Linked DNA regions of Coturnix japonica. The protein of the gene in region 1 purifies or fractionates together with the protein of each later gene. This does not show direct contact. Links are inferred from orthologs where the notes say so. Each region holds a gene or a part of one and is shown on either strand. Other genes may lie near its edges. The genes, in order: MRGBP, BRD8, VPS72, TRRAP, EPC1, EPC2 and ACTL6A.

Evidence for each region.
Region 2: the proteins of MRGBP (region 1) and BRD8 purify together in Homo sapiens (affinity purification with mass spectrometry; 10 studies listed by BioGRID and IntAct, counting the BioPlex papers as one, with this or other methods). This does not show direct contact. The link is inferred for Coturnix japonica from reciprocal best matches to the Homo sapiens genes MRGBP and BRD8.
Region 3: the proteins of MRGBP (region 1) and VPS72 purify together in Homo sapiens (co-immunoprecipitation; 5 studies listed by BioGRID and IntAct, counting the BioPlex papers as one, with this or other methods). This does not show direct contact. The link is inferred for Coturnix japonica from reciprocal best matches to the Homo sapiens genes MRGBP and VPS72.
Region 4: the proteins of MRGBP (region 1) and TRRAP purify together in Homo sapiens (co-immunoprecipitation; 3 studies listed by BioGRID and IntAct, counting the BioPlex papers as one, with this or other methods). This does not show direct contact. The link is inferred for Coturnix japonica from reciprocal best matches to the Homo sapiens genes MRGBP and TRRAP.
Region 5: the proteins of MRGBP (region 1) and EPC1 purify together in Homo sapiens (affinity purification with mass spectrometry; 6 studies listed by BioGRID and IntAct, counting the BioPlex papers as one, with this or other methods). This does not show direct contact. The link is inferred for Coturnix japonica from reciprocal best matches to the Homo sapiens genes MRGBP and EPC1.
Region 6: the proteins of MRGBP (region 1) and EPC2 purify together in Homo sapiens (co-immunoprecipitation; 4 studies listed by BioGRID and IntAct, counting the BioPlex papers as one, with this or other methods). This does not show direct contact. The link is inferred for Coturnix japonica from reciprocal best matches to the Homo sapiens genes MRGBP and EPC2.
Region 7: the proteins of MRGBP (region 1) and ACTL6A purify together in Homo sapiens (co-immunoprecipitation; 4 studies listed by BioGRID and IntAct, with this or other methods). This does not show direct contact. The link is inferred for Coturnix japonica from reciprocal best matches to the Homo sapiens genes MRGBP and ACTL6A.

The regions. Positions count from the first base shown.
Region 1 is NC_029535.1:7,458,414-7,462,399, reverse strand, and holds the start of MRGBP (MRG/MORF4L-binding protein), read right to left. Parts: upstream 2,801-3,986; 5' UTR 2,777-2,800; coding exon 2,545-2,776; intron 2,249-2,544; coding exon 2,127-2,248; intron 1,554-2,126; coding exon 1,472-1,553; intron 861-1,471; coding exon 786-860; intron 38-785; coding exon 1-37.
Region 2 is NC_029528.1:11,890,451-11,893,061, reverse strand, and holds part of BRD8 (bromodomain-containing protein 8), read right to left. Parts: intron 2,326-2,611; coding exon 2,233-2,325; intron 2,009-2,232; coding exon 1,940-2,008; intron 1,270-1,939; coding exon 1,092-1,269; intron 441-1,091; coding exon 336-440; intron 1-335. UniProt on the Homo sapiens protein: May act as a coactivator during transcriptional activation by hormone-activated nuclear receptors (NR). Isoform 2 stimulates transcriptional activation by AR/DHTR, ESR1/NR3A1, RXRA/NR2B1 and THRB/ERBA2.
Region 3 is NC_029540.1:2,245,309-2,249,409, forward strand, and holds VPS72 (vacuolar protein sorting-associated protein 72 homolog), read right to left. Parts: upstream 2,801-4,101; 5' UTR 2,738-2,800; coding exon 2,621-2,737; intron 2,056-2,620; coding exon 1,903-2,055; intron 1,702-1,902; coding exon 1,590-1,701; intron 1,481-1,589; coding exon 1,301-1,480; intron 1,216-1,300; coding exon 1,074-1,215; intron 906-1,073; coding exon 524-905; 3' UTR 438-523; downstream 1-437. UniProt on the Homo sapiens protein: Deposition-and-exchange histone chaperone specific for H2AZ1, specifically chaperones H2AZ1 and deposits it into nucleosomes.
Region 4 is NC_029529.1:1,402,507-1,406,006, reverse strand, and holds part of TRRAP (transformation/transcription domain-associated protein), read right to left. Parts: intron 2,707-3,500; coding exon 2,610-2,706; intron 2,277-2,609; coding exon 2,138-2,276; intron 1,393-2,137; coding exon 1,314-1,392; intron 824-1,313; coding exon 589-823; intron 258-588; coding exon 1-257. UniProt on the Homo sapiens protein: Adapter protein, which is found in various multiprotein chromatin complexes with histone acetyltransferase activity (HAT), which gives a specific tag for epigenetic transcription activation.
Region 5 is NC_029517.1:12,828,581-12,832,080, forward strand, and holds part of EPC1 (enhancer of polycomb homolog 1), read left to right. Parts: exon of another isoform or gene 1-298; intron 299-1,015; coding exon 1,016-1,134; intron 1,135-1,215; coding exon 1,216-1,302; intron 1,303-1,781; exon of another isoform or gene 1,782-1,952; coding exon 1,953-2,094; intron 2,095-2,234; coding exon 2,235-2,601; intron 2,602-2,876; coding exon 2,877-2,949; 3' UTR 2,950-3,500. UniProt on the Homo sapiens protein: Component of the NuA4 histone acetyltransferase (HAT) complex, a multiprotein complex involved in transcriptional activation of select genes principally by acetylation of nucleosomal histones H4 and H2A.
Region 6 is NC_029522.1:31,150,190-31,153,689, forward strand, and holds part of EPC2 (enhancer of polycomb homolog 2), read right to left. Parts: intron 2,497-3,500; coding exon 2,163-2,496; intron 964-2,162; coding exon 891-963; 3' UTR 1-890. UniProt on the Homo sapiens protein: May play a role in transcription or DNA repair.
Region 7 is NC_029524.1:15,354,701-15,358,773, forward strand, and holds the start of ACTL6A (actin-like protein 6A), read right to left. Parts: upstream 2,801-4,073; 5' UTR 2,663-2,800; coding exon 2,638-2,662; intron 1,665-2,637; coding exon 1,588-1,664; intron 1,368-1,587; coding exon 1,193-1,367; intron 589-1,192; coding exon 488-588; intron 1-487.

The DNA.
Region 1 (3,986 bases):
TCACTTGTTTTTCCTAAACTTCCAGAGGGTGCAAAAACTGAAATAGGATCAAAGTAATGATTCCAGATCAGACTCACGCACATAGCAAACAAGAACTGACATAAAATCTCTTTGTATTATATGAAGCCTTTCAAATAAATACATTCTCAGCACCTTTAAAGATCCTCCAAACACAGACATAACCCAACCCCACTCTGTTCTCCTTCCCACTTAAGTATCTCATGTTTTGATTTATTGACCTTAATTTCTCATAAAGAAACCAAACACAGACAAGGCCACCAACCTCCATATCTGTCACCATACCAGGCTGCCCAGGGTCCCATCCAATCTGGCCTTGAACACCTCCAGGGGCATCCACAGCATCTCCAGGCAGCTGTTCCAGCACCTCACCACTCTCATAGTAAAGAGCTTCCACTGGCATCCAACCTAAATCTCCCCTCCCTCACCTTAAAACCATTTCTCCTTGTCCTGTTTTCTACCCTTTCAAAGTGTTGACTCCCCTCCTGTTCACAGGCTCCTTTTAGGTAGTGAAAAGCTGCAGTTAGAAGCTATATAACTCCATACATGAATTAGGAGCAAGGCAGGAATCTCCATTAGAATCAGATACTGGCAACTGCTTATTCCATGCATTCTTAAGTTACTTTAGTTCTTTACAACAAGCATATACTCAGTCTGAGCAGAAATCACAGAATACACCATATATGATATTTACATTTTAACATTAATATTTCAGAATTACAGTTGTTTTTTAAATCTCATTATGCTGCAGAGAGTTACAAATTTACCTTCTTCTGGACCTGCGTGTGTTTCCATCTCCTCTTTTATCTCCTCTTTCACTTCTTCTTCCATCATCACTTTTCCTATGGGAATAATCATTAAACAATGTTTAGATGGTTTTGAAGAAGGGTTTCTCCATTAGCAGCCTCAGCATTATGTGCACAGACATCAGGCGTAACTGCAACGCCCTTAGAATTAAAACATATAAACTATACTAAAAATAAGCACATCCTAACAATAAAAACACATTGGTTATACCAGCAACAGGTATTTGTGACAAGTCCAAATGTCTACCCCCAGAAGCTGAATCTACATGGTATAAACAGAACCTATGTGTGTGCCATACTAGCATTCATGTATATCAGATTTAAGAATACAAGGAATACCGTGTGGAACTTGACCAAGGGTCTGTACTGTCCACTAGTTTCCTTTCTACAGTGGAGAATCAAAGAGGCTGATAAATGGGGAATACGAACAAAACCAGCAAGGTGATCCTTTCCCTGATTACTTCCTTCAGCCAGCACATTCAAGAGATCTATCTGTTCTCTTCTAACACACCAGTCTGAAAGAACAGCCATGTATTTATGTTAATGGGGTACATTGTTATGTTCTTTTCTGGGTGTTCTGTTAAGCTGTTCGTTCTGTGATGGGCCTAGAGCAACAAAAGAAATAAAAGACTTCTATCACATCTTACCTTCTCTCACTTCTTGAATCAGCTCATCAGGAAGAATAAAATTCTTCTCTATATTTGGAAATGGAAGAATCTCAGACTCATGCTTAGGGAGAAAATAGAGATTTTTATGATTGTAAAGATTAAAATATACATATAGAATAGAAATGCAATCTCAAGCTCTATTTTAAGTGCACTCGGTAGCCAAATAATTAACAAGATATTCAGGCAGCAGAGATTAAAGATGCTCCTGACATCAAACTGGTTCCTAAGTTAATTGAGATCACAACTCATTGTGATATGAGTGATATAATGACCATTACAGATCATTTCTGGAATCAAACTGTAGCAAATTCTTAAATATACACAAGTTGTCTGTTTGGTACCTAAGTACCTACATAAATGTTTGCTGGATCAGCTCTTAGGCAATTAAAAATGGAATAAAGACACTGAAAAGTCAGAACTCAGTATGGCAAAAAAGAAAACGCAAACCAAAACAGTGTAAGTTTTATTGTCTCCCACCTAATGCACTTTCATACAGGAAAGAACTTCATCACCTTGCTGAAAACATACATCATGTTCTGTCACTTGTCAGCTGTCAGGTTCCAGGGACTATGACCAATCACAGCTCCTGAACGACAGGAAATTAAGTGCTCAATCTCCACTCCTTTATACTTACAAGAGCCTGCATGTCGTACATGGTGCTCAGATGGTCCCAAATCACTTTGGATGAAATCTGCCGTCCGATATTCTGACTGAATTTATCACGGATACAAATCATGTGAAAATGGCGATTCACACCTGGGGGGGAGGAGGGGAAACAGTGTAATTAACATCGCCAACAGCTTGATTTGTGCAGCAAAATAATATGAATCGTTAAAAACAAGCAAGCAAACAACCCATAATCACAGAGGAAATCATAGAGAGAGATCATACAGGGAGATGAATGGGCAGCCCTGCCTGGCTGGCCAGCACCGAGAGCTGGCCAGTCCCGCAGGCCGCTGGGGGCAGCAGCCCCACTCAGTGCCCGCAGCCCGCTACTCCAACCCGGCCAACGCCGCTACTCGAGGCCGAGGCTCGGCGCGGCCTGCTCTCACCTACGGGCTTGTGGCCCAGCATGGCGTGGAACAGGCAAACCTCCACTTCGGGGCTCCATACCACCACCGCTTCCTCTGCCGGCACGCCGGGCTCCGGGGCGGAGGCAGCCGCGGCAGCGGCGGCAGCAACAGCAGCGGCGGCGGCAGCGACAGCAGCGGCGGTACCGGGGCCGGCTGCGGGCAGCGGCGGTTTCTCCACGGCAGCGGCCGCGCCACCCTCCGCCTCCCCCATGGCCGCTCCGAGCCGGGCCGAGCCGAGCCGCCTCGCGGCGCCCTCTGCCGTTCCCGCAGCGGCTCCTGGCGGCCGGAGGGGCGGGCTGTGCAGAACATAGGGCTACCTCTGAAAGTACAATAGTATATGAATATCAATATCACTTAATTACCCACTATTATGTTGAATTATCTACGATATCATGGAGATTTTGTTAAGGGTCCAGAGGAGGGACAGGAAGATGATCAGGGGGCTGGAGCACCTCCCCTATGAGGACAGGCTGAGGGAGTTTGGTTTGTTCAGCCTGGAGAAGAGAAGGTTGCGGGTGACCTCATTGCAGCTTTCAATACCTGAAGGGAACTTACTGCCAGGAGGGGAGGAAACTCTTGGAAAGGGCTGACAATAGCAGGACACGGGGAAATGGTTTTAAGTTAAAAGAGAGAAGATTTAGGTTGGATGTTAGGGGGAAATTCTTCACTAGGAGAGTGGTTAGGCCCTGGAACAGGCTGCCCAGGGAGGTTGTGGATGCCCCGTCCTTGGAGGTGTTCAAGGCCAGGTTGGATGGGGCCCTGGGCAACCTGGTGTAGTAAAGGTGTATGTTTGGTGGCCCTGCCAGGCAGGGGGTTGGAACTACATGATCCTTGAGGTCCCTTCCAACCCGGCTCATTCTGTGATTCTGTGATATGATGCCAGTTTTCATGACATACATAGATTTCTACATGCCCGAATGCATGCATTTGAGGCCCAGTCCTGCACCAAATCACTCAGTAGCCAGTAAACCCTCATACAAGAGAAATAACCTCAGTGCCTTGGCATCTTTCAGTATTTCTCAGTAAAATATTCTTCCTGATAAGGACCTCCTGAAGAGTGCTGATTTGATTTGTGAGCTTTTCCCGTACTTTCAATCTGTTATTTTGGTGTGAAATGTGTGGGAAGTTTTGCTTCAGCGGAGCTGGATAGGGAGTTGGAACTATCAGTGGTGGTGGTTTGAAATAGATCTGCTTTTCTCCCACAGGACTTGTCAAGAAGGAAGAATCAAAAGGATGAGAAGCCTGTGTCTTGTTGGAGCCCTTTCACATAGAGCTCTTTACAGAAGTGCTGCTGCTTCCAGCCAAGAGGCAAGAAGATGCTCCCCGGGTTTCTTCCAATTACCCACATTCTTAGCAAAAAGCTGTTTGATTGTTTCAAACAGGGATATTGAACAGGGTGTGCACTCATAGACATGGCGTAA
Region 2 (2,611 bases), on another chromosome or scaffold:
TACCACACCTCCTCCAATATTTCCTCCAATATTTCCTCATTTCACAACACTTTTCATCACTTGCTCTTGAAATCACGGACAGAAACATAGGGATTGCAGAAATAACTCATGACTCTCAGACCCATCTCTGGGTTGATGTACATCCCCAGAGCTGAAGTCTAATCAATGGACTTAGTTAAAGAAACATAATAACAGTAAATTGTTCACATGAAGATGCAGGACCTATTCCAATCTAAAAACACATTCTGCACATCTTTGGTACTGGAACTTTATGTGGTATCTTGAGATCCTCCAAAAGACACCAGCCGCCCTTCTGCAGGGTGCAGCATTCTCACCTTCTCTGAAGCATCTTGCTTGCGAGTGGAGTCTCGCCCACGCAGGCTCTTTGCGCTGATCCCCGACTCTGACGTTTGCATGATCAGTTGTGTAGCCAGAAATTGCTGCAGGAAAACCATACTCTGTTAAGATTCTCTAGCAAAACAAGCTCAGTTAAAGCTTGTCAGCTATCACAAACCACAGGGCTGGGAACGAATGGGTCAGAGACAGTTTCAGTTCCTTGTTTGCTGCTCAGAATAAGTTTCCCCATTCACCTCAGCAGCCACAAGTCTGGAGGGACTATAAAAATCCAGTTCAAACTATGACAGCCCTGGCAGCTGGGACGTTCTGCTTCAGAAGAAATTCTAATGATACATATTCAAAGGACAATCTCAGGACAGTTTTGTATGTGCCTCAAGCCAGCACAGACTGACAGTCACCAAAAGCAGCAGCTGCGTCCCTTGTCATTCACTGATCTTGTTGCTCATTTCTGTTCCTGAACCACACCCCAGTTCTTGCTGGCCTAAGCATATGTGCACCCCCAAAGGAAATCAGGTTTGAAATTAGTCTGGGCTAAGCCAAACAAACATCTCACTGTGTTAGTTTTAACAATCCAGTTCACCACAAACACCTAAGCTAGTACAAGCAGGCAAAGATGGGGATTCATTTGAAGACACTGTGAGTGAAACTTCATTTTCACTTCCAGAAGTCTTTCCTGTACCTGTGGACCAATGCAGACAACTCTGTTCTGAAACAGCCTCAGCTCAGTACTTTACCTGGATCTGTTCCAGGACATCTCGCTGCATCTCTACAGCCATATGGTACACATCGTGGTCAGAGCTATTGTACATAACTGCATTTTGAAACATCAGCATAATGTCACGCTGGAACTCAGCTGTGGTTCGTATCAGTCCATTCTCAATGTTCTTCTTGATGGTAGATAAATCCATCGGCCTATGAAATACATTCAAAATAGCAATGCAAACATGTAACTCTCTCCTTTCTCATTTGCAGTCTAAGGACTAAAACATATCTAATTAGACCATCTATTTAATTTAGCAGAATATGTTCCCACATAGGCTGCATTCCTGAGTTCCAAGGCTTCAGATCAGGAGACACAATCTGCTCAGCAGTTAACAGGAATGGTAAGTACATGTAACAGCTGCCTCAAGAGAGGCATTTGCCTTCTCCAAGCATTCCGTGTGACACAAGGGAGCCACAGCTACAACCACTGGACTATTTAGGCACATTTTGGTAACTCTTCCATAATCTAGACTTTCTGAGGCAATAAAAGAGCTGATTAAAGAATCCGGGTTGTGGGAACATCACACCTTAAATTCAACCCTTGGACAATAACAGAGAAGCTGATAGTCACATACCACTTCACTGATAAAAAAATGTTCTGGTCAAATCTGTATTTCATTCAAGGACAGGGCTGTGTACAGACTTGTATGTGTTACTGAAGGTGTCCCTTTTTCTTAGGGAAATACAATGAATGATGTCAGAAGAAAGGTATTTTTCAAGTTTTGCAGTCTGAACAATGGATGAACTCTAGACTCTTCCTGGCAGAAATTCTTACGCAAATACACCAGAGTTCTTGTCACATAAGAATGCTGAGACTCACCTCTGCACAATACTGTGGTAGCCTGGTGCTATATCGTCAGTCACAGGCTGCAGGAAGACATTGGCATACCTAAAGAGATAGAGAGAGATTCCAGTGAATGCCCTGCCCCTGCCAATAGAGGAACAATTCTCAAATACTTGTGTCATGCTCTCATGTTTATTTGTCTGCTATCACTAACAGTGTGATTCATCATCTCCCCATAACAAGGCAGGTAAAGCCTCAGAGCTGGGAAAGTACAGACTTGCCTGAGATTAGTCACTTCTTTCTGCCAGTTCTCAAGACATCAAACTCACCTGTGATTAGCCGCTGCTCTCCAAACCAGCATGATGGCTTTCTTCCAGATCTTCTGAGCCTGTATTGCTTCCTGATCCTCACTGCACACTGAGCTGAGAAAAAAACAGAATATGATTTCCTCTGTGAATCTCCATACTGCCCTGGCGCAGAAACCTTACGGTTCATTTTGCCTTTGTCATGCTTACAGTAACCCAAGCCAGAGAGAAATATAAAAAATGGGACCTGGCACTACAGCACTGTTTGAACACCTGCACTTCTGAGTAAGGACAATCTAGTGCCAGACAAATCATCAACAAATTCCCCCACTGGACCCACTCAGCAAAACAGAAATGAGAATCCTGCACTCCCCCCAGGAAACAGCCTGGGATTTGCACCTGT
Region 3 (4,101 bases), on another chromosome or scaffold:
AGATCAGCGTTTTATTCTGCGAGCCGGCAGTGGGGAGGGGCGAGATCACATATCCCGCTGTTATCGAGCCCTACCAGCGCCCCGCGCTGCTCCACCCGGTACCCGCCGCCCTCAGGAGCCCCCCCCACCCCCCCGGGGCATCGGGGCTCATCGCTGCGTCCGCCCCATCGGGGGGGGGGTGAAGGTTTGGGGTTGGTGCTGTGGGAGGCACCTCTATCACCGCAGAGAGAGGCTGCCCCACATGTCCCGGAGCTGCCCCACATCCCACAGCTCTGAGACCGCCTGTGTGCCCTTCTCACCTCCAGCCCCAATCTGAACACTATGGGAGGGTGTGTGGGGCACTGCATGGATCTGCCTGCAAACAAGGCTTCATTTCATCCTGCTGGATAACCCAGCAACAAGGGCACGACCTGCGCTCCCCCCTCACCTCCAGCTCCTTCTTTTTTCTCCTTTTTATTACAAAAAAGAAGCCAAGAAAACAACAACACAAAACAGGTTGACATGGAACAAGGAACAGGCGCTCTCAGGCCGTGGGCACGCTCTGCTTGATGATGATCTTCTGCCGCGTGGCTCTCAGACCAGGGTCAGGGCCAGGAGGAGCAGCCCCCAAAGCAGCGGATGCAGCAGCGGCGCTGGGCAGCCCGTGGGCCGTGATGTATTTCTTGTAAGCCTCACGGATGATTTTAAAGGCTCGGATGTTGGAATAGGGGATGTCAGTGATGGGGTCACGATATACAGCGGGTTTGTGGGTTACAGGGCAGATCTCCCGCACCGGCAACCGCGGAGCCTTCGATTTGGGGAAGAAACGTTCAAAGGTTTCATCATCAGTGAAGGAGATGAAGGTGCGGGAGCACTTGGAGCTGGAGGCTGGAGCAGCTTCTGCCTGCTGAGGGTCTTGGTCCAACCTGGAAGAGCCACAATCAGCTCTAAGGGATGCACGGAGCTGGGGGAGCCCAGGCTGTGGGCAGCACTAAACATGCTGCTCCACACTGAGCCCCAGGGATGGGAGCGATGGGGACTGTGTGCAGCATAAGGGAAAAGCATCAGGATCCCATCTGCTGTTCCCAACTCACCCCTCCACGTCCACATTCTCCTCCTTGCCCAGCTCTGTGATGAGGGGCATGGTGACGGACCAGTACCGGATCACGGGCCCCACGCATTTCCTCTTCTTCTGCACCTGCTTCTTCTTATCAGCCTCCAGGCGTTCGTAGTTCTCTGGGGAAGCAGAGATGAGCCCAGAGGGTCTCAGCACCCCCCACTACACCCCCCATCCCATTCCCAATCCCTGTGCTCTCCTCACCCAGCGAGCGGAGGTTGATCTCCTCCGTGATCTTGGCCTCCTCCAGCAGCTCCTCCTGTGTCAGCGGGCGGTCGTAGTTGGGGCCTCCCTTCTTGCGCTTGGATTGAACCTGGCGCTCCTGGATACGCAGGAAGGTCTGACGTGTGTGCTCTGTTGTTGACTGCCTCATGTGCTTCCGGCCTGCAGTGGGAGGATGGGGCTCAGTGTGGGGCCAGCACAGCTCCCAGGGCAGTGGGGTGCCTGGTTCCAGCCCAGGGATGCTGGCACATCCCATCCTGACTGCACTCACTGTCTCCTACTTCATCCTGGAGTTCCAGTGGGGCTAATTTCACCTCTCGGGCCTTTTGGGAGCTGCTGCTGGGGGTGTCGGCCTTCTTGGGTCGAAGGCTCTTGATGGGCTCCTAAGGGTTGGGCAGGAGGGATGTGAGGAGGGAGAAACCACATGGGGCTGCCCCATGTCCTCCAAGGGACACGTCCTCCCCACAGTCAGCAATTAGCAGATTGCTAATTATCCCATCCATCTGGGGCCATCCGTATCCCTTCCCAGCAGGTCAGAGGACACTGGGATGGACCCAGCCCCATCCCCACTTTCCCCTCCTCACCCTGTAGGCCTTGGTGACCACGCGGCGGCGCCGTTTGGGTTCGCTCTCATCCTGGTCGCTCGTCGGTTCCTCGCCCTCATCGATGTCAAAGTCGGAGTCCACCTCATCGTCACTGTCCGACTGGTCGCCCCGGTACTCATCATCCCCCGACTCCTGCAGGGACAGATGGGCAGCGTCACAGCCAGGGCTGCGCTCCACCACCCCCCCATGGGCCATTCATTGACAGCTGCCCCTGGGGGTCCTCCCAGCCCCATTTGGAGCCCCTGTTAAAGACCATCTAAAGCCACCCCTGCCCCATTCTGTCCTCCTAAGTGCCTCCGTCCCCATTCTGACCCCTCAGTGCCCCCAGCCCCTCCAGGACCCCCCCCAGTTTCCCTCACCAACCCCTTCAGGGCTCTAAATGTCCCCGATCCCACTCAGCCTCCATTGCAACCCTCTCATCTCCCCTCACACCCCCATAAATCCCCTTCCAGGCCTCCCCTGAGGACCCCCCGCACCCCCCCGACCCCCTTTAGGCCCCGGGTTCCCTCCCAACCCCCGTCTAAGGCCTCACAACCCCCTCAAACCCTTCAGTCCACCTCACACCCCCATAAATCTCCTTCCTGACGACTCCCCGGACCCCTCACGACCCCCGACCCCCTTTAGGCCCCGGGTCCCCCCTCTAAGGCTTCACACCGCCCCGCAGCCCCCCTGCCCCAGCCCGTCCCGGCCGTCGCACCTCAGTGAACCCCCCATACGTGGTCTGGTAGAACTCATCCTCCTCCTCGGCCTCCAACAATCCCGACAGCCGGTTCCCCGCCGTGCGCCGCGGGGCGCGGCCTTCAGCCAAACTCATCGCGGCGCCTCCGCCGCCATCGGCGCTCGACTCGTCGTCCTGCCGTAGGGGCGGAGCGAACGATGTAGCGCCCCCTTGCGGCCCGGAGGTCCGGAAGACTGGGTTGATTTCTATTGGCTGCTCGAGGAGCACGTGACTCACATCCCCCCCCTCCTCCATACGTGGGTGGTACCGAGGGGGCGTGGCCTCGCGCGAGGCGGCGGCGGGCGCAGGAGGCGGCAAGATGGCGGCGGCGGGGCCCGAGTCGGGGGGCAGCAGCGGCAGCAGCGGCGGCCTCGGGGGTACGGGGGGACTAAGGCCGGGCCCGGGGGCGGCGGGGGAGGCGGAGCTGAGAGCCGGAGGGACGAGGAGCGGCTGGTGGGGGGGGGGGGGGGGGGGGGGGGGGGGGGGGGGGGGGGGGGGGGGGGGGGGGGGGGGGGGGGGGGGGGCGGGGGGGGGGGGGGGGGGGGGGGGGGGGGGGTTGAGGTGACGGTCTCCCCCTGCCCGGTGGGGTGTCGCGGCCGTTGGGGGCTGTGGGGCCGTTTGGCACCGTGTGGGGGGGAGGGGGGTTGGTCACCATATAGTGATGTATGTGGGGGATATGGGGGGTGTGGGGCTGCCCTCGGCCCGGGGTAGGGATGATGGGGGGCACTTAGAGCTGCGATTCGGCCGTGTCAGTGTTGAGAGGGGGCTTACACTCCTTATTGCCTTCGAAGTTGGTGGTAATGGGTCTGGTTTAGGGATGCTGGACGTGGAACCGGAGTGATTTCTACCGCCGTCCCTGGCACAGAGCGCTGAGGCCGTTCCTGATTGCAGGGCAGAGCACGGAGAGCTTCTGGTTGCCCAAAGGGGGACGGCTGGGGGGCTGCTGCCCAGCGGGGCCTCATCTCGGCGGCCTCCTGGCATCGCGCTCCTCATTTGGAGCCTCTGGAAATGGGTCTGTGCCCCCTCCCCGCCCCCTTTGTTGGTGCTCCCTGCTGTTCCCACGGCGCTGTGAGGAATGGGGGGGTCCGTGGCTCTGCCGGCTCAGGGTGAAGCTGCTCTTTCTCCTCCCGCCGTGCTTTGAGTTCCCTTTGGGAGCTCGGAGATGTCACACATCTCACCTCTCTCACCCGGAGGAGGAGCTGCCGCCTCCATAAAGCTCAGAGAGCGTGGAGAGCTTCACATGGGATAGAAGTGCACGAGTCTCAACCTCTTCTCCCTCCCTGCTGGGATCTGCGCCGCCGTTTGCTTTGCAGGGCAGTCTGGTGTTGGTCAGGGTGTTTTTCCTGCTGGGTTTCAATCTTGGTGGCAGAGCTGCGTGATGTGAAGTGCGTTCACTTCGGCTGATCCCCAGCAGTGCAGCATTTAAAGCTCTCATCCCATCTCTGGGGCCTCTCTTAGAC
Region 4 (3,500 bases), on another chromosome or scaffold:
CTTCGGCAGTCTGTAACCTGAAAAGTCTGTTTATCTTCTTTTTCTTTCTCCCCTTGCTTTTCAAACACAGGTACAGGCGCAGGGGCCACTGGAGTGGCTGGAGCAGGAGATGGAACAGGAACAGGTGCTGCATTTGCTGCTGTTGGCACTCCAGGCAATGCAGCCTCAGCCGCCCCAAGCTCAGACTGTGGTTTGCACTTCTTAAAAATCCCTGAAAGCTGGTATCGTGCAATGGTGTGAAACTTCAGAACAAACACCTGCGGGGAGAGGGAAGAAAGGAAACAGAAGAGCAGAGGGGAGAGGGGAAGAAAAAAAGAAAGTAAGTTCCCACCTTAGAATTAAAAATTATTCTACATTTAATAACCCTAATCCTTCAATTGAACATACTTAAATCAATAAGGTTTAAAACCATATTTCTGGAACAGCTCGAATAACTGCAAACATATTCAAGTGTACCACGAGGTGTTAACATGCTGTTTTGGTATATTCTCATTTCTGAAGGAGGGAGTAAAGGGTGACTGATAATATACTACAAAACACTAATTAGGCTATTCAACTTATTATAAAAAATTTTAAACATGTCAATACCTCCAACATTCTCATGAGAATATCTCTACCATTCCCGTTTTCCTGTTCACTTTTAGACCGGATACAGTCAACCAAATTTAGCAGGAGCTTGCAGGACATTGTCTGGATACTGCTAGGCAGCGACTCATCATCAATATTCTTAGCAAATAACTGGACAGCAAGTGAGAGATCGTTGAGAGGTAAATGCTGCCGGACGTGATGCACCAGGTCTGCCAGTGTACTGTATGCAAGGGGCCTGTCAGTAAAAAACAAGAAACAAAGAAAACACATTGAGAACAATTATAACAGTTGCTAATTGGACTTAACCAATAATCACCACCTGATCTATTTCCAAGATTCTGAATTAAAATTTTCTATTTTTATGTGCAAACACATTGCTTTGAGGCTTTTTCAATTACACATAAAAATTACAATCTGTATAACTTCACCGAAGAAGCATTAATCCATTCCACAACACTAATATTAGAACTACTTGGATCTTTATTCACCCACTGCTGAACATCCCCACACACAACATCATCTCCATAACAATTCAGATGTTTCAAACCACACTGGAAGCTGTGCTGGTAAGCTTTTTCACAATTAATCCTCAGTTACTCATGACTTCATGAAAATGAGCCCTATAAAGTCTTAAAATTCTATACAGACAGTTAAATATTAGCAAACCCTGAAAGAAAGCAGCCATGGCAGGCACTCACAAAGACATTCCAACCTTTCTGCCATACCTCAGTGTCTCTCGAGCAGTATATCCAGAGCCAATTAATATAGATTCATCAAACAGTTTGTCCATGCATGGAATAAATTCTGTAATTCAAAAAAAAGAAAGAAAATGAAAGCTAAATAAATACTTAGATCGTTAAGCACTAAGCAACTCATTGTACATATTGAAACCAAAGACAGAAAGTTTACTCTTGAAACATGAAAGCTCTCAGTCAAACTCTTATAACTCTCCTGGCACTTGCCCCTTGAGTAACTTCACAGAACAGTCAAAGCAACACTATGGATGGATATAATGAGAACAGCTACAGCTGGAAAAAGTGGTTCCATTAATTTCAACTTCACAGAACTTTTTAGAAGCAACTAATGAGTTACTGCCCATGAAAACGCTGTTTGGTGTGTCATCTATCATTCAAGCTCTATCCCAAAATGTGAGAAAGAATACATGGAATTTGGGATTCAAGGAAATAAGAAGAGCTATCAGTAACAAATTCAAATGAAAAAGCAAGGTCAAATACGCTTTTTTTTTCTTTCTAAATATAGAATTCAAAAAGACTGAATTGATTAGTTCACTCCATCCAAAGGGCAGATGATGGCAATGACAGGAAGTGTTGAGTGATCCCACCTTCAAATAACACAAAGGAAAATAAAACCTCAAATAAAGAGAGGCACCCAAAAAGAACAGAACTGAAAGCTAAGTTCACCCCCTTTCCAAAGTAGCGAGAAGTGTGTAATAGTCCAAACCAAATCGTACACAAATGTACCTACTAGATACACAGAAATAGCTGAAACCTTATCAATGTATAGATACACTGTAGAAAACCATACGTACGGCTCCTCAAGTCTGTTGTTAAAATGTGCTTAGCAGCAATCAGAAGCTCCTTCCGGAGGTGTGCTGTTTCTGCTGGACAATTGGAAAGCAATTGCAACATTCCTTTCACCATTTGCTGAGAATATTTAGCCACTAATTCCTATAAAAAATAAATGAAAAAACAAATTATTATTATACTCTGCTTTAAAACTCTGTTTTTGAATCTCCAATAGAAGATTGTACTAAAATTCAGTGACTTCTCTTTAGGAAGTCTGCTTGTGAAAATAAAACACAGTAGCCATTCTATACATGCTTTTATTTCGTGTTCACATCAGAACACTTTTGAAAGCATAACTGAGTACAGCCCTACAGATGTGGTCAGGTTTGCTACTCAATTGCTCTTCTCTCCAGCAGTCATACAAGTAGCTTTCCCACCTTAGAGTAATGAGAGATCTGTTGCATTTAATAGTAAGGTAACAAAAATGCAACCTACCTGATAAATTCTGATGATGTAAGCCAAAAAAGACAATGTTTTAATTTGAGCAGCGATAAAATCAGCATACAGTTCTTTGTTATAAAGTTTATGTTGCCTGAAAACAAAATTGAACAGTGGTTATTCTTCTCCCCCTCTTCAATTGGTCAGAACATTCATGGCAGTATCAAATTACATTATCTTAAACAGAGGTTCTTGCTGCATAAGAAAATAAATTCATTACAGGAGAGCCCATTTAGCCAACATTTTATGCTTTAAATAGAAATGTGCAACTCTGAAGCAAGCATGCAATTTTCAACCCCCATCAGAAAACTAAGCTAATACATTCACCAAACAGCTGCCTCTCTTCCCTTAGCTGGGGCCATTTTTCTCCAAGCAATATTCCTTCCCAAAGGCTTGCACATCTCCCAAGTTCCAAAGACTTATGCAGATCATCCGAGCAGACAGGGAAAGACAGAGGTAGAAATCCTGCTGCACTGCACAGCACCAATTGCTGCTTCTTAGAAACATCTCCCTGAAGCAGGTAAAACAGTGCCCACATCTGCAAGACCACATGGCTCCATGCAAGCTAGACTTGGAAAAGCAAAACTGTAACAATGGTGGCTTCCTAAAGAGAAACAGCTCCGAAGTCCCAGCTGTGTGGTCTCCATCACATTCTATCTGTGGTAAAATCAATTTCAGATGGAGTCAGAAACTCCATTTTTTTAAAAATGCCTATCAAATAATAAACTGGGGGGCAGCTCATAACCATGAATCTTCTTAGTGACACATAATGGAAATACTCAAATTTGCCAATTACTTCAAGTATTTTGAGATTAAAAGCACTAAGACTAGAAGCAAAACTCACAGGATATAAGAGAAAAAAATATTTCAAATAACCTTGAATAGCAG
Region 5 (3,500 bases), on another chromosome or scaffold:
TTTCTGACGGTGATGGGCCTGAAAACGTAGCGGAGCAGGCAGTGATCGCATTGTGTGAACAAGATGCAGTGGGGTTTGTTGCCGTACAGGAGAGAGCTCTCCTGAAAGTACAAGTTGTGCATCAGGAGTGAGTGCTGCTCACAGCACTGACTGGGGAGTGTCTCTTTTATCCAGAGATGAAACCAAAGGAGAATCCTGAATGTGCACCATTGGCTGAATGTGTTCAGGAGAGTCAGATTCCAGGTTTGACTTGCTGTGAAACTGACAGCAGGTGGTTCTTGTGTCTAGGAGCTGTAAACTGAGAAAAACAAAAGATGTTAACGCTTTATGAAGCTAATTGATAAACGAATGGCACTTGTTTTCCACTGGGCATCCCCTCTGAGCGTGTACAAAGTGCTGTCCTTAGAAGTAGCTTTTTTCCAGGACTGGTGGGGTACGATGGCAGCGGGTTTGTCACATGCTGAATTCTGGGTCCCCCTGCAAAGATCTTAGGGAAGAAATTGAATTGGAGTTAGAATTTTGTCCCATGTAAAGTCATGAGCTAAACTTAAAACAGAAACGTTTCATTTGGACTTGCTCCTTTCAAGCCATTATCTGCGTAGCCTCCTGTTCATTTCCCTCTTCTTGTGTGGAAGCATGCCTTATTATTAATGCACGCAGCTCAGTTTAATGGAAGGTGGCAGCTTGTGCCATTTCTACCTGTGAAATTTTAATATTACAGTTCTGTGTGGGTTTAGTTGTTTTTGGTTCCTTCCTTGCCCTCCCTTTTTTGCTGCCTGGAGCACATACAGTGCAGCAGTGCAAGTCCACGTGCTTGAAACAAACAGCTCCAGGGGTGACTTAGTTTGGAAGGGCCTTTAGAAAGATGCTGGCCTTTCTGCCACGAAGGTGCTCTAGGGCTCTTAGGAGCTTGCTGGGGTGTATTTATGTGTGAAGGACTATGACATAGATGTGTTTATATACACAACACCTACCTATTTTGATATAGTATTCTCTCGTTTTATATTTTGTTCAGCATTTACAGCCGAACAATACCAGCAACATCAACAACAACTGGCACTAATGCAGAAACAGCAGCTTGCACAAATTCATCAACAGCAAGCAAATAGTAATTCCTCTGCCAACACATCACAGGTGAGGGATTTGTCTGTGCTATGATTTATCCCTCATTGTTTCCCACCAGGGTTCATCTCTAATTGTCAACTGTTGCCATAGAACCTTGAAACTAACCAACAGGAAAGTGGCTTTCGCCTGAATCTACATCATAGCCATTCTGTAAAGTGTTTAGAAGGGACACTGCAGGTGAGTGTGGCAGGCATTGCCTCTGCTCCCTCTTAACAAAAAACAAAAAGATGGGTCAGTCAAATAATTAAATACTCAGAGCCTTAGGAATATGAATTGCAAAGATCTCCAGCCGTGTCGTTACCCTTTTGGCACTGGGAGACTTGAGAGCCGGCTGTTTTCTTAGTTAACAACTAAAGCCGGCTCTGAATGTGTCCTTTGTGCAGATGTGGAAGTGTCTTAACGCTCAGCAGTGTGTGGTGTTTGCACTGAGGATGGACACGTCTTTAAAAACGTTCAGAAGTTACTGGCAATCTGAACATCTGAGGCACTGAACTGGGTTTGGAATTTCATGAGAACAGTTTGACCTGTAAAACAACGTTGTTCCATAGAACTTGGAAAATAAGTTCCTTTGTGTTCTATTAATAGTTGTGGGGTCTTTCATCTCTGTTGTGTCACGGAGCTAAAATCACATAGAGAGATCACAGCTCAGCTCTTACCTGCTTGTACCAAATGTCAGCAGTTGAGCCTTGCGAGAATGACTGGGCTGGTGTGATGTACGTGGATGGATTTTTGTTTCACTAGTTTGTGTGTAGCTTTAAAATGAGGAGAGTGCTGAGGGAACCCTGGGAGCCTCAATCACAGATGTGTGCCACCATTGTTCTTTTTAGGGTTTTGTTTCCAAGACACTGGATTCTGTTAGCGCTCAATTCGCTGCTTCAGCTTTGGTTACATCAGAACAATTGATGGGATTCAAAATGAAGGATGATGTGGTGCTTGGAATTGGGGTGAATGGCATTCTTCAAGCCTCAGGTACGGAGCTGTTTGTGCAGAATTTGATCGTGTCGTGGGTTTTATTAGAGTTGTTAATTTTTTAGTTGTGGAGATATGAGTTTGTCTGGGCTTGAGGAACTTCTGCACAACAGACTTAGTGTTTTGTTTCTCTTTTGCAGGAGTATACAAGGGCTTACACCTCAGTAGTACTACACCTACAGCACTTGTCCATACAAGTTCATCAGCAGCAGCAGGTTCAGCCTTGCTACAGCCTTCAAATATAACGCAGACTTCAAGTTCCCACAGCGCACTGAGTCACCAAGCATCTGCTGCCAATTCTGCAACAACTCAGGTTCTGATTGGGAACAACATCCGATTAACTGTACCTTCATCAGTTGCCACTGTAAACTCTATCACCACGCTCAATGCACGACATATACCTAGGACTTTAAGTGCTGTTCCATCATCTGCCTTAAAGCTGGCTGCAGCGACAAACTGTCAGGTGCCCAAGGTTCCAGCTTCATCCTCTGTGGATGCCGTACCGAGGTAGGCTGTTTCTCTGCTCTGTGTACATTTTCCAGTCGTTTTGCTATAAAAAGGTGTTTGTGGCAGACCAGAACTGGGTCGGGCTGGATGAATGCTTCTGTGGGAGTGAAGCACAGTGTGAATGTGGAAGCGTAAGATGAGGGTTATTTAGGAGTTGCGTTGCTGTTTGTTTTTCAATGTAATGCCTTTAAATGGGTCTGTTTCAGCAGCCGATGAGCTGCTCCGCCATCTTTTTTTCCAGTCTTGCTAATTTGTTGTCGTTGTTGTTTCAACAGGGAAAACCATGAAACAGAGAAGCCAGCACTGAACAATATAGCGGACAATACAGTAGCAATGGAGGTGACGTAGTTTCCATAGGAGTGGAACTGCAGCCTTGGGAACTTGTTTAGGTGCTATGCATCAGTAGCATTTTGAATGCAAGGGATGATGGAATGCCGCACATTGCGTTTCCATGGCAGCTGTGGGGACTTGACAGCGATGCACATCTCTCACGCTTTGGTTTTTCTTTTCTTACTGTTAATAGGAAAGAATCAACATCTGTAAATTAACAATACAGCAATTATCTGTACAGTACTGCATCTTTGTAATACCCTTGTATATATGTTACTTGAATACAAAACTGTTCATTTGTGATGCTTTGCACTTGGGGTCGGGGGGAGGGAGGGAAACAAACTGCAACAAAGTAAGAGTGTGAGATGTGAGATTGTATAGAGATGAACAAGTGTCATCACATCATGTGCATGGTGCGGAACCTGCTGTTTTATCTATTTATTGTGCCGTGTTTACAGTTTTTTGTACACTGTACCTTCATTGGTTCCTGTGCTGTAGTAAATGTGTTAGGTAGCTGTGGACTCCTTGGTATTTTGTAAATGGTATAACATAACTTGGTTCCCCTCTGG
Region 6 (3,500 bases), on another chromosome or scaffold:
AATTATTGCAATGATATATAATGCAATACATACCTGGTAAAATGTCCTTTACGTGGTGTGTTACAGTTTTAAAGCCGGTTAAAATATGCAGTCTTCGGATAAAATGTCATTGGTTGAAAATTTTCTCTTATCTGCACAATTTTATATGTGTCAGATGCATAATTTTCCTAGTCAGCTTTTTTTTTTCCTGTGTAATTATTTTTTATAAACTGGTATTATAAATAGAAATATACATTCAAAATATATGGAAAAGTGAGTTACTACATTAAATTTGCATGTATCGATCCATCCCTTTCCCCTGCACAGTAATAGAAAATACTATTTTGCCTTGAACTTCATATTTGACAGTGAAATGCCACTAAAGTATTTACCAAAAAGTCCATCTAGTCAAATTGTGAAACAAAATGAACCAAGTGAAAACTTTACATTTCCTTTAGAAAAAAATTACAAGAATTTTGTCTCCTAGCTATGAATCTTTAACTTCTTTTTTTAGACACAAAGTTGGATTTATTTGTACAAGATACAAAATGTAAACATGGCAAAATAAATAGTTAAAACAAGTGATGCAGGATCCCATTTCATGCTCATGATCCCATTAAAGAATTATTTTTTAATCCATTCAGTTGCAAATTCAAGTGCAAAAGCATGATGATGAATATCTACTATTCAAGTAACAGAAATAATATTGATGATACAAATAAACTATTTTACAAGGTAGTGATTCTCCCAATTTTACAAAATTTACATTATATATCGACTTAATACACGATATAAGGATAGTCCATTTAGGTCCATTTTAGTTCTCTGTGATCCACAGAGTGCTGTATTTTGCATTCGGTTGGAATATAAATGACTACACCGTTAGCACAGGTTGAGACACTGATTTGAGGTTATGTCACTTCCATTGCTACTGTTGTCTCTGCTATGCCGTTCAAACCCAGCCGCTCTGGTTCATGGTTCTCTCTGTAACAAAAGAAGCATTCCACAATTACAGGTAGAACACGGATATTTCCTTATGCAATTTCAGTGATTTCTTACAGGCTCTGTGCTCTTACATGGCTATGGACAAACCTTAACATACACACTAGATAGAAACAGACCATTTAAAGCTGAAATACTGGTGGTTTAAGAATGGCTTTAACCCCATGAACATTGCAGTTCCTTCTACAAGAGTATTAGCAGAGATGTCCCAACTTCAATGCATTTAACTATAAATTACCAGCCCAAATTACAGATAATAATAAGTCTCCTGAAGGAACAGAGTCACGGTATGCCATTAGGACTTGTGCAACAGCTACCAATTATTCCATTTGTGAACTATTTTTTTCCAGTTCAGTTTCAGCACAAAAAAAATTCTAATTTCTTTCTGACTTTATTACCATCCCCTGTAGAGGAGCCTTAGGTCTATTCAGCTAAGATGGTTCTTTTTCAGGCATATGCTGACTTGACTTGAAACACCCCTGTGACTCGATGGAAACAAGAGCTAAAGGCACTAATGATACAGGAATACGCTTTAAAGCAATTGCTAATTTAAAAACAGCTTTTCCACTCTCTGCACAGGGACTGTACTATACGTGTGGTTCTCCATCTCAAAAGCTCTTTTTAACAACTCTGGATATGTCATGAAATAATCCATAATGGATAAAGCTAATGCTCTTTTTCTGCTTTCTTAACCTATAGACAAGTATTTCTTTTTTGCTTTTAAAGCATCATACAATCCAGCAGAGACCTTTACAACAGAGCCCAAATGCTGTCATTTGCAAAACATAATCAGCTACAAGCCACTGCCACTCCTGTGGAACACTTAAGTACTGGCTAAGTACTCGTAAATGAAAATAATTATACATTATAAAGGCATGCATAGTAAGAGACAGACTGGCTTATATCTGTTTTCTATTTTGAATTCAAAACGTGTATGCACACATACATATGTATAAAATAGATATGCCAGCCTGCATCTTACATTATGGGTACATATAGCTGCAGAGAGAACACATGGAGAGTTTGAAAGAATCTACTTGGCAAGTGCTGAATAAGAAGGGACAAATGAAAATGGTTAGAATGAAGCCACTTAAACACAATGGAAGACGACCAAAACTAGTGTGCTCCAAACTGGCAGAAGTTTTAACTGGAATCTGTGCTCTAACTTGCTCTGCGCTTACCTTGCTATACTGCTGATGGCACTGCTAGGAGTTACCTTTGGCACTCTGTCCATACTGGCAGCAACTGTGGCAAGTTTTAAGGCTGTTGGCGATGGTGCTGAAGTCCTTGTATTAATATGCACATTGACTGGAGAAACAACGCTGACATTGTTGAGGTGCACTGCATTAGTCAGGCAAGAATTGTTCATGGGAAGTGTTTGAGGGCTGCTTGTGCACAACGCTGGAATTAAGTGGTTTGTGGTGGTGTGGCCAACTGTCCTTACAAGCTGTACAGCTGAAATCCCTGGGCTGGATGATAAAGCCATGTTGGTGGAGTACAACGTTCTAGAGGTTCCTGTTGCAAAGCAAATGTTTTTAATTAAAACATGCCATTTAGATTTAAAGACAAAAGGTTAAATCTCAACAGTAATGATTTAAGCATGTGAGTCACTGGAATCATCCCTGTGTTAACTGCTTTAAGGACTCAAACAGATGAAAAGTCTTAGAATTCTTTCCAGTCAAGCTTAGGAGTATTTTAAAAGTGGGGGTTTTTTTTTGTTTGCTTCATTCACAAAGACATCAGAAAGTGGAAGAGTCTGTAGTGTCAAAGAGCTTTTATATTTTCCAACTTCATGCACTTCAATTTAGGAGTCTTAAAGTGCAGCATTCCCCATAAAAGTACATCATATGGGACCACAGCTTAGCCAGGCAACTATAGAGACTGAGTGAGAAGCCAAGTTCTGATGCTTTGAATCACCTCCTCCCTTATCTGACTGGCACCACCATGAGTTACTTGGGTCTTCAAGGCAACAGAATGAGGAGTACAGGACCCCTCCCAGCTTACAAAGCAGTGCTGTCTGTATTCAGATGGTGGGAGAACTTCAGGCTCTAGCTACAATCAAGCACAGCACATACTCAAACTGGTGGCTCTCAGGATTCCTCTTCCTATTCACTGATGGAAAAAAAAAAAACTGGGTCTAAGAACATTTCTCCCTATTCCTACAAAAAGCTGGTTTTAGTCAATATGTCCTAATTTAAATCTTCCTATCTGAAGCTGGAATGGCTGTTTTACATCAGTGACATCTACAGCCTTGGAACAGTAACACAAATCTAATTTTATATGCATATCTGCAATATTTTTCATCAACTGTAAGGCTATCGTGCTGATACATGGTACACACACATACACCTGATCCTGTATCCCTCAAAACATTACACTCTCAGATCTGATATTTCAGCAAGTTATACACAGTTGCCCTTTTCTTTACTGGATCAGTTCCAGTATATTGATTTTATTCAGCTGTGTTGCACTGCTCTCCCCCTCACACTTCTACTTATTTCACTATTCAGCCTAGCAGA
Region 7 (4,073 bases), on another chromosome or scaffold:
TCTGTGTTCATGCACCTCATTTATGTTACAGGAGCATTTGCTGAAACGAAATTAAAACTCCACTACACGTGTTATTCCCTGTCACGTTAGATGGCAGGCTGATTGCATGCAAAGATGGATTAAGTGTAATATATGAAGACATTCAGACAACTTTTTGCTTTTATTCTGTGCTGTCAAGTGAGGTTATTTTTGATTTTATACTACTTTTTTTTTTTTTTTTTTAAATACATGAAATACAGTAACACATAGTAAGTGTGTTCTAATGAAACGCATAGAAATTCTTTCAAATTTGGGCTTTTTTTTGACATTTTTCCTATTGAGAATACTTTCCAGAACCTGCATGATATTTTTAAATGTTACTTCTGTAGTTCAGTTTTAACACTCATAACCTACAAGCCAGTGCTGGGTTTCTCCAAGACTAATGTCTATAGATTCAGCAAGAAGATACTGATAAGTCTCCTCACAATGCAAAGCTCCTTTTACTCACTGGTGCTTCAGACATAAGGACAGGATGCAAACTCGCTTCAGATTTAATATGCATCTTGTAAGTGTGATCCAAAATTGCCTGGAAACTATCCCAGTCTTCAACTGCAACGACATCGAAGCAAGCAGATTAGTTACTTCTAACTTTTGATCTACTTCATAAATCCACATAAAGTTTTCCTGATGTTTTTTTTTTTCCTAAGAGCTCTTCAGACAAAAGCCGTCCTCAGCAGCCCTATACCCCTCCTGCTTTGCCAAATTCTCATCTATATTTTTTTAAGCATCATGACAGCAAATAAGAATTGTTATTATAAATAATAATAAATAAATAAGTTACAATAAAAGTCCACTGACATTTTGTAAATTGAGCCATTCTTATGGCTGATAGCCTCTGTCCATACACGTTACAGGAACAATATTAGGAACTATTTCCAAAAACTTGTTTCTTAATTGTTTTATCAAAGGAGACAGCTAAATTAAAGCCATCAAATAAACAAGAATCTACAAGTCTCCCATTAAGACATAAAAATGCTCATTATCGTATTAAAATATCTTAAGTGAAAGCAGAACCGTTTCTTTACGAGCCTGCTTTCTAAGTCCAAAGGAAAAAACAGTTGACATGGATAGCATCTGTTTACATGAAAGCTATGACTTGTTGCAGCCTAACAATTGTATCTTAAAGACAGCTAAAAAAGACAGAGCACCATACTCATTCCATTTTTTAAAGGTGAAATGGCCTCCATATTTTCCCTTGGGACTCTCAGGGCATTGGTGTCTATGTAGTACGTTGGGCCCCCTTGTTTGCCTTTGTCACCATCTATCTCCATCAGAGTGCTGCCATTGTCTCTTTCTAGCACCACGCCTATAGCTGTTGGAAAATCAACCTGTAAAGCAAAAGGTAAAATATTGATGAAGGTTATTCATTTTGGATGTGGGTTGTTTTGTTGGTTTTTGGTTTTGTTTTTCATTGGTTTGTTTTTTAGGGGGCTAATAAAATTCAGAGTTTTCCTTAAATAATAATAAACAGTATATTCTGGAAGCTTATGACTAATAAACAAGTTCAAGCTCCAATTGTAATCCCACTGAGTTCATAAAGATTCTTACCTTTGGACAGTCTTCGCCTGCATAGCCTGCTCTCACTGTATACGAGCCAATGTCAAAAACAAGAGCCCCAACTTCATCTGCAAAGATTGTTAACAAAGAAGTAGTGAATGGTTATTGTGCTCTACTGCAATCCTGACCTGAACTTATCTCTTGTCTGCTTTGCTTGCCAGAAAACAAACAAACAAACAAAAAAAAGCCCAATATGATAAAGCATCTTTCCTGAGACACAGAGCAATTTCTCTATTCAGAATTCAAGCTAACTGAGAGCCACCAGGAGGTTACAGATAGGCTGTAACCAGGACACTGCAATACCTTTCATTGGCAAAAGAAAAAGGGCAATTTTAACAGACGAGAGCTGCATCTAAACACAGGCTTGCGAAGCGAGTCCACATGAACTTCATGACATTCAACAAGGCCACGTACAAGGTGTTGCACAGGACTTGAGACTCAGACAGCTGGACATGAGCCAGCAGTGTGTGCTTTCAGCCTAGAAAGCCAACAGCATCCTGAGCTGCATCAGGGGAGGGGTGGCCAGCAGAGCAAGGAAGGTGACCATCCCCTTGTGCCCTGCCCTCGCCAAGTCCCATCTGTTGTACCACATTCAGGCCTGTGGCCCCCAGCATAAGAATGAGATGTTGGAGTGAGTCCAGAGGAGGGTCAAGACAATCAAAGGGCTGAAGCTCCTCTGCTATGGAGAAAGGGAGCTGGCTTTGCTTAGCTTGGAGAAGGTGCCAGTGACAGTTTGTTGCAGCCTTACAGGGAGCTTATAAACAAGAGGGAAACTGACTTTCTACATGGTTTGATAGTGACAGGACGATGGGGAATGGTTCCACACTAAAGGAAGAGATTTAGGTCGCATGTTAGGGGGCAATTTTTCAGAGAGGGCAGTGAGACCCTGGCACTGCTGTGTGTGCCCCATCCCTGCAGGTGACCCAGACGGGTCGGACGGACCCTGGGCCCGCGGCGGCCTCCTCTCCTCACACACGGAGCGATGCGGCGGGAGGGAGCCGGGCCTGAGGGAGCTCAACAGTGTCGTTATATCAGACTCACCTCCGCCGTACACACCGCCGCTCATGGCTGCCCGCTGCTCAGCGCTGTGCTAACAATAGCACTCGGTCTCTCGCCCCGCCGCCCGGCTCAGCGCAGCTCGCAGGCCCGCGCCTTCCCGCCAATGGCAGCGCCGCCGCCGTCCGCCCACCCGCCCGCACTGCAGAGCGTTACCCAACAGAACGGCTGAGTGGGCACAGCGGCCAATCAGAGAAGGGAGGGAGGAGGGGCTTGCTTATGAGTAGCCAATCATGAGGCGGGAAGTGAGGAGCTTGGTAGAGGAGAGTGAGAGCAAGCAAGTGTAGGTGCAGTGCGCGGGAAGGGCGGTGTGAGGAGAGAGGGGCGGGAGGAGCTGAGGGAGGAGTTGGAGGAGGAGCTGAGGGAGGAGCTGAGGGAGGAGCTCTTGAGGTGGGTGTGCCACAGGATCACAGAATGACCCGGGTTGGAAGGGACCACAAGGATCATGTAGTTCCAACCCCCCTGCATGGCAGGGCCACCAAACATACACCTTTACTAGATCAGGTTGCCCAGGGCCCCGTCCAACCTGGCCTTGAACACCTCCAAGGACGGGGCATCCACAACCTCCCTGGGCAGCCTGTTCCAGGGCCTGACCACTCTCCTAGTGAAGAACTTCCCCCTAACATCCAACCTAAATCTTCCCTCTTTTAACTTCAAACCATTTCCCCATGTCCTGCTATTGTCAGCCTTTTCAAAGAGTTTTATAGGTGTTTGCATGAGGAAGATCAGCACAAATCTTTCTTTGCCACTAGTTGTACTGTGTAATGTTGGTGTGCTTTGATTTATTTTATGGTGCCCTTTAATGTGTTATAGTGATTTCTAGCACGTGGCACTAATACCCAAGGTAGAGTTGGTGGAGAAGGATGAATTAATTGCAGTTGGGGAAGGCTGTAAAGCAAAATGGGTGTTAAAACACTGGGGGACGTTTCTTCAGCTTGTGCCTGTACTTGGGCTTTGTTTTCATAGTGGTTCATAACATCCCTGTGGTAACTGATGCTTTGGGGCAGACCCTGCTCTCCCCAAGAGTGGCTTATGATAGCTTTGTGGGTGAGACAGGGGGCCCAGGGGGGTTGGAACTTCATGATCCTTGAGGTCCCTTCCAACCCAGGTCATTCTGTGAGACACCAAGACAGCCGTCTGCTGCTTCATTTATCTGTAACTTTTGCAGCACTTGAGATCTCCCAGTGGTGCCAGCAGAAGAGGCGTGTGGCTGTGCAGCATGGGGAGAGGGCGTTCCTGTGCACGACCAATCTTTCCTGCTCAGCAATTGCCTGGTGCCGATAGTGAGAACTGAATGTATGCTGCAAGTCCTGCTGTTGTCTGGAAGCCTCAGGATTTGGTGAGTGCAAAGATAAGAGACTAAATCTGTGCAAAGAAGCCTGGAGGATCTGGGGAGGGAAGTTCAGGCTGTTAGCTGTCTT